2 linked regions of the Drosophila melanogaster genome follow. The protein of the gene in region 2 interacts with the protein of the main gene of each other region in a pairwise test. Each region holds a gene or a part of one and is shown on either strand. Other genes may lie near its edges. The genes, in order: Lrch and Jig.

Evidence for each region.
Region 1: the proteins of Jig (region 2) and Lrch interact in a two-hybrid assay, tested with the Drosophila melanogaster proteins (one large-scale study listed by BioGRID).

What each region holds. Positions count from the first base shown.
Region 1 is NT_033779.5:17,381,035-17,386,022, forward strand, and holds the start of Lrch (Leucine-rich-repeats and calponin homology domain protein), read right to left. Parts: upstream 3,082-4,988; 5' UTR 2,749-3,081; coding exon 2,436-2,748; intron 1-2,435. Other genes in the region: CLIP-190 (cytoplasmic linker protein 190), read left to right, coding at 4,597-4,861. UniProt on the Drosophila melanogaster protein: May play a role in the stabilization of the actin-rich cell cortex during cell division.
Region 2 is NT_033777.3:14,559,124-14,562,142, reverse strand, and holds Jig (Jig), read right to left. Parts: upstream 1,209-3,019; 5' UTR 1,162-1,208; coding exon 685-1,161; 3' UTR 622-684; downstream 1-621. Other genes in the region: CG14854 (uncharacterized protein), read left to right, coding at 2,096-2,152, 2,209-2,247, 2,353-2,441, 2,507-2,882.

The sequences.
Region 1 (4,988 bases), on a different chromosome or scaffold from region 2:
CTTCACTCGATTGACTCTTTCTTGTGCCGTCCTTTGTCTAGGTTTTTGTTTATGGTTCTGTTTGATTTGCGTGACACGCGTGTTAATTAAACGCCCCAAAGGAATGCACAAAAGTGTGGCTACCTCCCACCCACACCGCAACAACAAATGATTTTAGGAAATGCTGACAGGCGCCTGCCCATTCCCCTTAATTTCATGCCATTTCGGGGGTTGCAAATGGCATGCGTGCAAATAAAGAAAAAAGAAAAATGGTCGGTGTATACACCCCCCCCCCCTCCCACATTTTTTCTGTTTCAGTTTCTTTGACTTTCTTTTGCTTTAGAATCATCGATTTCTTGGAAACTCGAAACCCTTGTGGTTGCAAGCCATTAAGGCTAAGAGCCGTTGCCACCTCTTAAAGTCCACCGCCCCCACTTGCGAAAACCCTTCGCCGAGGGTGGCTTCATTGTTCTCGAAGAGGCAATTTGTAGAGGTTCTTCGCTAGGGTGTATTTACAAATATTTTCCCCAAAGATTAACCCCTAACGAGAGGTTCAGCGTATCTCAATATTCCCCCTGTTTTCTATTTTCCACATGTCCATTCACACCAAAAATCCAGCATTTTAATTAGTAATTAGTCACGCCTTCGCAGTCGATGACTCAATTGCTGGTGAGAAAACGCATGAAACTTATTCGAAAATGAACGAAAAACCGGAAGCTCGTTGGCTCTCCATGTGGGGAAGGGTTTTCCAAAGAAGAAGGGATCGTTTCCCCATTTCGAACAAATAGCGCGTGGCCATAAGTCACGGATTGTCACAGCTTAATTCGAAAATCAAGTCACGTAGGCGGAAAACGGGGAGCGGAGTGGATTGGAAGGAAATTAAAAATATGTTTCCTAGGTTAGGGGGAGATTAAGTTTTATCTCTTTAAACACTTCTAGTATCCTAAATTTAATTGAAACCTTCCGAAATTTGTTACGTACTCTTTTCAATATCGAAGTGCATTGTTCAATTCAGTTTCATTAATTAGTCAATTTATGTTTGCTTTATAAAAATGTAATTTTAATTGAATTAATGGTAGACAAACTGAGAATTTTGTTTATTTTTGTTGCTCTTCAATTCCGGTATTATCCATCATCCAAGGCACTGGCTAAGTGGAATTTTTATTGAATTCTTTCCCTATTCTTTTACCAAATTAGTTTTCAATTTATGACACAATTTATTTTTATCTCTCTTCCACGGCAATTAATCTTCGCAGTCCAAAAATAAAAAGTTTCCTTCTATTCCAGACATTTCCACCGAAAATACATCAAAATACAGTGCGTCCTCTGAAAGGTGACATTCCACGTTCATAATAAGTCTTAAAATTAATAATAACATCTCATAGTTGGAATTTACTTTGTGTAAGTAATTAAAAGAAATAAACTAAAATAATTTTGTAGTTTATAATCTGTCTCGTTTCAATGAACATAATCTTCGATCTGTGAAGTATTGTTAGATGGAAAATTGCCATATCTCGCTTTTTCAGCGATTAGAATGACAACTAACCTTATCTACGTATCCTTTCGCCTTTCAGAGCGTTTACTGTATGTGTATACAACAAACACAAGTGAAAATCGATGAGAGACATGTCCCGTTGTGAGAACATCTGTTCGAGGGTAGCAGCAGCTGTGAGAGGGGGCGGGGTCCTGCGAGAGGGCGGTGAATTTTCTGGGTGGGTATTTCCCATTTACTATTTCTCCGCTGGTGCATATTTTTTGGTCCTAACAAAAACGAAAGTTGGTTGAACTTCGACAAAATTTTCGTGCCGGCTGCGGCGAAAATAAAAATAAATAAGGATAACACGAATAGTGCAAAGTGGCGAAGAGCGAATAACGGCGGTAATTATTGTCCTTGAGCGCAGTCCGAAAAGGGAGAGAATGGGAGAGCCGCAGAGAGAAAGAGCAGCTGATGGGAGGACAGAAAAGGAGGAAAAGGATGAACCTCCGACGGCTGCTGCAAATTATTGATTTTCAAGCAACAAAAGGAAAATTCGCCACTGCAATGGAGATGGAAAAACTTCGTTAGCTCACCGGCAACAAACCTCCTTTGCTTAAATGCCGCACCCTAAAGGTATACACATACGCCAAACATTTTCGATAAGCAACTAATTTAATTGCTTTATCAGTACTTGTACATATGTAAACTCTACTTTTACTTTTTCTGACGTCAAAAGAAAACTTTATAACTAACAATTTTCTAATCAACTTTAATACCATTTAACTTTGTAATATAAAAATGTATGCTTTTTCCAATAAAATGTTATTAACTTCGTACATTAAGTATTATTAAGAACAGTTTAAACTTTACTTAGGAAGTAATGAAAACCCAATTTTTTCCGGAGCTACGAAACCGGCTTGAAGAACACCTTTTCTTTGTTCTCCCTTACGAATATACACTATACAATAGCGGTACGCACCTGCGATGACAGTGTCGGTAAGTGAGTACTTCGTTCCAGTCCTGGGAAAGTCCTTCAGCTTGCGATTGGTCAGGATCAGTTCGCCGCTGAAGTGCGCTTCTTCCAGGATTCTTTCCAGGGAGCGCGTCAGCTGGGAATGACTAAGCAGGGCAGACGAGGTGGAGGAGGAGGTGTTTCCAGCGTGGCCTATTCCAGATCCCGATCCTGTTCCAGATCCTGGAAGGGAAGCCGACCCGCTGCCGATGGCGCTGCCAGCGGCGCTGCCGACGCCGACTGCGACGCTATGTAGGCGTTGGTAAACCGTTGCTGCCATTTCCCGTGTAGGCGTGGCGACACTTCCACACACTTGCACACACACACGCACGCGCTAAACTATCACACCGATAAGGAAACGGAGTGAAGTGCCGAAAGAAACCGAAACTGGAAACTAAATTTGCTCTATTGAAACGCACGCATCTCGATTATTTTTCATTTAGTGTACGTCTTCTTGGCTCATTGATAAGATTTCTCGGAATTGGATTTTCCTTTTGCGGCTTCCTTCTTGCTTCCTCTTCTTTGCCTCCTCGCACACACGCGCACTCACACACGCACAAGCTCACGCAGCAGACGAGCGACAGTGCACAACGAAAATCGAAAAACAACTGAATCGGTTTATGGGATGCTACTTGGGCAGCGCTGGAAACGTTGCTGTTAGTTTAAAATCGGCGTGCCTTTGAGTACTATCGATAAAATACCACAGTGCGCCGATGATACACTGGCTCCATTTTTATCGCAATTCGAAATGTCAACAATCTTACATTTTATAATGTAATGTAATGTTTGTTTATTCAGAATGATCTACCGTTTAGCATTTGCCCCTTCAAATTTAGGGCATTATTAGATTACTGAGTCGTTATTACACCGAAACATTTCATATAACTACTTAAAGAAAAAATGAACAAATGACCAGGTAACCTGGTATTGGAACCCGGCAATAAACTGGTTGAATATTAAAAAACCATGTTAGACTAAATTATAAATTCGTTAATTTGTCAGTTGTGTGGGCTCAGATCACAAATCTGAATAAGCTCAGCGACGCTTCCATTATTGGTGACATAATTTCATATTTTACATATTTATATTCACGAATAAATATTCGCCAATTTCCTACAGGGTGTTTTTGTATGACCGCATTACTCTAAAAATACCTCGGGAAAATATAGCCGCAACTATCGATTGGCGCGCTGCACTGGAGCTGTGCTACCATCGCTAACTCAGTGCAACAACAAAATTCCAACGCAACGCCAACTAAGTGCAAAAAAAATCTAAAATTTGTGTAAAATTGTAAAATCCCAATCGCGTATATTTCTAAATCGTATTCGCACAGCACAGTATGTAAAGCACTCCAGTTTATTTAAGTACTGTGTGTGTGTGCGGTAAACACACACCAATAAGAGTGCGTTTTCGCGTCCCTTTTCCCACCCTCTTCTAATGGTTCCCTCTTCTATAACTGTGTCAAATCAGCAGCAACAATAAAATATAGAACAGAGCTACAGCGTGCGTGTGTGTGTGTGTGAAATGCACAAATTGATAAGCAATTTGATTCAATTTAATCTTGTTTAAGTCTGATGAATATCAGCGCAAGCAGCCCAACACAAAATTATAAATAAAAAGTTACGAATTTATATAAATAGAATACCCTTGAGTGATTTTGTTAGTCGCATAAAATTAATTCAATACATATTTGTGTTCCGCATTTTTTGAAAATATAACGAAGTTCTGGCCAACGAGAGCAACAACAAAAAGCGGTCTTGTTTGTTTTTCAAGCTCAACGAAAAAAAGAAGAAAAGAAATCTGCTCTCAGTCAGCTGTTTTAAAGCAGCCGCCTAAGTGCGAGTGAGATAGCTGCCTGCGCGCCAAAATAAAGCAACAACAAAAGTGGAACAGTGGTTCAAAACCTAGCTAAAAATAAAAAAAATCCATTTATTTTTGTAGCAAAAATATAAAATAAAAGCAAATTAAGCGAATTATACATATATTTGTTAAGGTAAGTGATCAGCATTCCATTTATTTTACCAAAAATTATTCTTTTGCACTTGTTTTTCCCCCAAGTTTTTTAAATCGTTTACTTTTAATACGCGTGTGTCCTAATAAGTGAAGATTATTAAGAATAAAGTAAAAAATGAGTGATGATACGAGCGCTTCGGGCGGGACAAGTGCCCCTTTTCCATCGCCAGTTACTGCGGACCCGGAACCAGGAGCCACTGCCTCCAAATTACCGGGTCCCATCAGATCCAATATTCCCACGCCCGCTACTTCTGGTACCGGAATCCCGCAGCCCAGCAAAATGAAGGCACCATCTAGTTTTGGATCGACGGGTTCTGTTTCCAAAATCGGAAGACCGTGCTGCAATCACACAACTCCCAAATCCGGTCCACCACCAAGAGGTAAGTCTAATCGCATTGTGCAACAACGCAAACCAGTTAGTATTATTGCTCAAAGCAAATATGTTACTAAGAGCAGTATTTTTGAAAGTAGTTAAAGGTCTTAATTATCCCCTGGGTTTAATTATCA
Region 2 (3,019 bases):
TTCACCTATTTACTCAAGAATAGAAAATGAGTATATTTTAATTTATCTGATTGAAGCCTGGTTTGACTTGTATTCATATATGATAAAACTCTCATCAGTTCGAAATATACATGACTTAAAATTTGTCAAAAATGGTGAATTTTTTCCTAAGTGTATGTATGTTATTAGAAATGGATGACTTCTTCTTTAATATTTGCCTTGTACACTATTTGCTATTGAATGTGTACCCACAAGATGATCAATGCCATCTGTGGATAGTTTTTTGCTTTTCGGTTGAAGGTTGTGTTTGTTTGTTGTACAATACAATTAGTTTAAATGGTTTCAAAATTATTTTAGAATAGAAATAGACTTGAACTTATTTGTGAAATAGATTTTCTTTATACATAAAACAAATGATTTTATCAAAATAAAGTTTTAATTATTATGTATTTCTGAGGTGAAACTATTAACTACCCAATAAAAATTTTTTCAAAGAGATATACTTCACGTTGTCGTTAAAGTACCAATTAGAAGAGATATTTTTAATTTTTGTAATAATATTTTTTCTCCTTTGTTTGAAGACAATATACTTATTTCTACACAGCGAACTCTTAAAAATTTGTTCAAACTATTTTTGTTGTTGGATGCTGAATATAGGTTTTATTTAGTATTTTTTTTTAAATTTTATAAAATCGAATGTTGGCTTTAGCCCGATTGGTTTTGCCTCCTGCGCCTTTGGGCCCTCCTCCTCCTCTGGTCCCTCCTCCTTTGTGCACGCCTCCTCCTTTGAGCGCGCCTCCTGGCCGCCATCCTCCTCCTCCTTCTGGCCACAGCAGCCGCGTTGTTTGAAGTGGGTGTGGAGTCGCTGGGCGACGTGGAGTCACTAGGTGAGCTGGTCGGAGCTGGAGTGACAGTGCCGCTTGGCGAAGTAGGCGTTGTAGATCCCGCCGGGGTCGCATCGGTGCTTCCTCCTGTGGTGGGTGTCGTGGTATCTGTTCCATCTGCGGGTTTCGTAGTGGTATTAGCGGCCTCAGCCACGCACTCCGGATCGCTTGGACTGGTGGTGCAGTCGATGCATCCAGTGACATTGGGGTCGGCGGTGCAGGTCACCGCCTCGCTACTCCTCAATAGGCAAGCGACCAGGACAAGAACTCCTGATAAGATGATCGATGTGGCCCTCATTTTCAGATTGATGGTGTCTTCGGATGGTAGCACGGTCTTATATACCGCTGTGATGATTCCAGGTGACTTATAAAACCAAAGAATATATGCAAATTTACCCAACTGGTGCTATCAAATGATTGTTTTTTTTTGATATCTATTGTATCTATATAATTGTACAAGAAGATGATAGCTAACCAATTGTCATCTGCTGGTGGGGACTTTTGTTGGAAATATATACTTGTTCAATACGTTTATCTTATACAAATAATTGCCAAATTTATTCAGCTGTTCCTATCGACTTTTGGCTTATTTCTCCGAATTCTTCACTCAGAACTTACCCTGATCGGCGTAGTTATTAAAGTTATTAAAGGTACATCACAGGGATGTCCCATCTTCAGAGTCCATTAAATATCTCAATCATTTGGGATTGTTAAGTGCGGCGGATGCAAGTCCATAAATAGTTAATATGCTATTTGTTTAGGTACAATAATCCCCTGTTTTAGATTCATGGCTTTTATGGCATAAATCCAAAGGTTTTCTTTTTATAATACATAATTGAATGCTAGTTTATGCAGCTTTCCATTTGCCAGGCACAAAATAAAGGCAGATATTAATGCAGAAAACTACCAGGCAGAAAGTTAATAGCAGTATTTTGCACTTTAAGCTCGCACTGGGTTAATTTCCCTTATTTGCGGGTATCAAAATTTTATTTGAGTACAAAATATGTTTAAATTTTAGATTCGCGTGTAAGATTTACTTTATGACTTCCCAATTGTTTGGTTGTTTTGTTTTATTTTATAATTATCATGACGTCACATCTTACATCCAAGCGAAGCGAGAACAATGAGCGTGAATATTTTAAATTCATATTTCGCAATTTAACGTAGATGCGCTGACCAGCTCTGATTTTTCAGTTAGTTTCGCTTTTAGCTGATCAGCGAACGGTTGAGCCATGGATTTGTTTAGCTCTCTGCTGCTGTGCCTGGGAATTATTTCATTACCCAATGTGGTAAGTACTTTGTGTAAATTGTTTTTGCACCCTATAATTTTTTAATGCATTTTTAGTTTACGATTTGCATTCCGCCCAATCACTGCATTGAAGATGTGAGTATGATACTGGTCTATTTAAAAACACAATTTAACTTGAACTAACACAATCTATAGTTGCTAGTCCTCCTGATTAAACACACTTTATTTTCTGTTCCACAGATGGAGGAAAGCGATGCGAAAGAGCGATTCGACTATGTACTTGGCAAATATGAGGAGGTGGAAATGAATATTCCCGGAAAACCAGTTGGGTGAGATGAACTTTAGCGCGTGTTTGGTGTTCCACTAATTGGCTTTTCATTTCCACCGCCGGCAGTTTGTATGGGAAAGTGGTTACGCATGGCGAGGCGGAGGAGCAGCACTTGGTGTTCCAGTACATGGACAATACGCTGCATGACATCATCCAGACGTGTGCGTTTGTGGTCAAGCGGAATCCCGGTGAGTGCGAGAACATCCGCACCTACTGCTCGGCCTTTCTGAGCCGCCTGCCACGCCCCCTGCTGGAGCGCAAGCCCATCAACGTGTGTGACGATGGGACGCGAGTGGCGGAGGACGAGCCGGAAACGGAAGCGGAAGACAATCCGGATGCAGATGCTGAGGGGGAGACTGATCCGCAGCAGGAGCAGGGAGTTGGTCAAGCGGAGACCACAACAGCGGAGCCGGCTAGCTCCAAATTAAGTGAATTTTATTGAGTGGGGTGCAATGTCATCCGGCGGTTTGTTCATTCATCTCGACATTTAAAAGACAATTAAACGCACAATTGTAAAATAAGTGCATAAGTAAGTGCAATTGAGATTAATTTTCTTTAACATTCAATTATCCGTTTTAA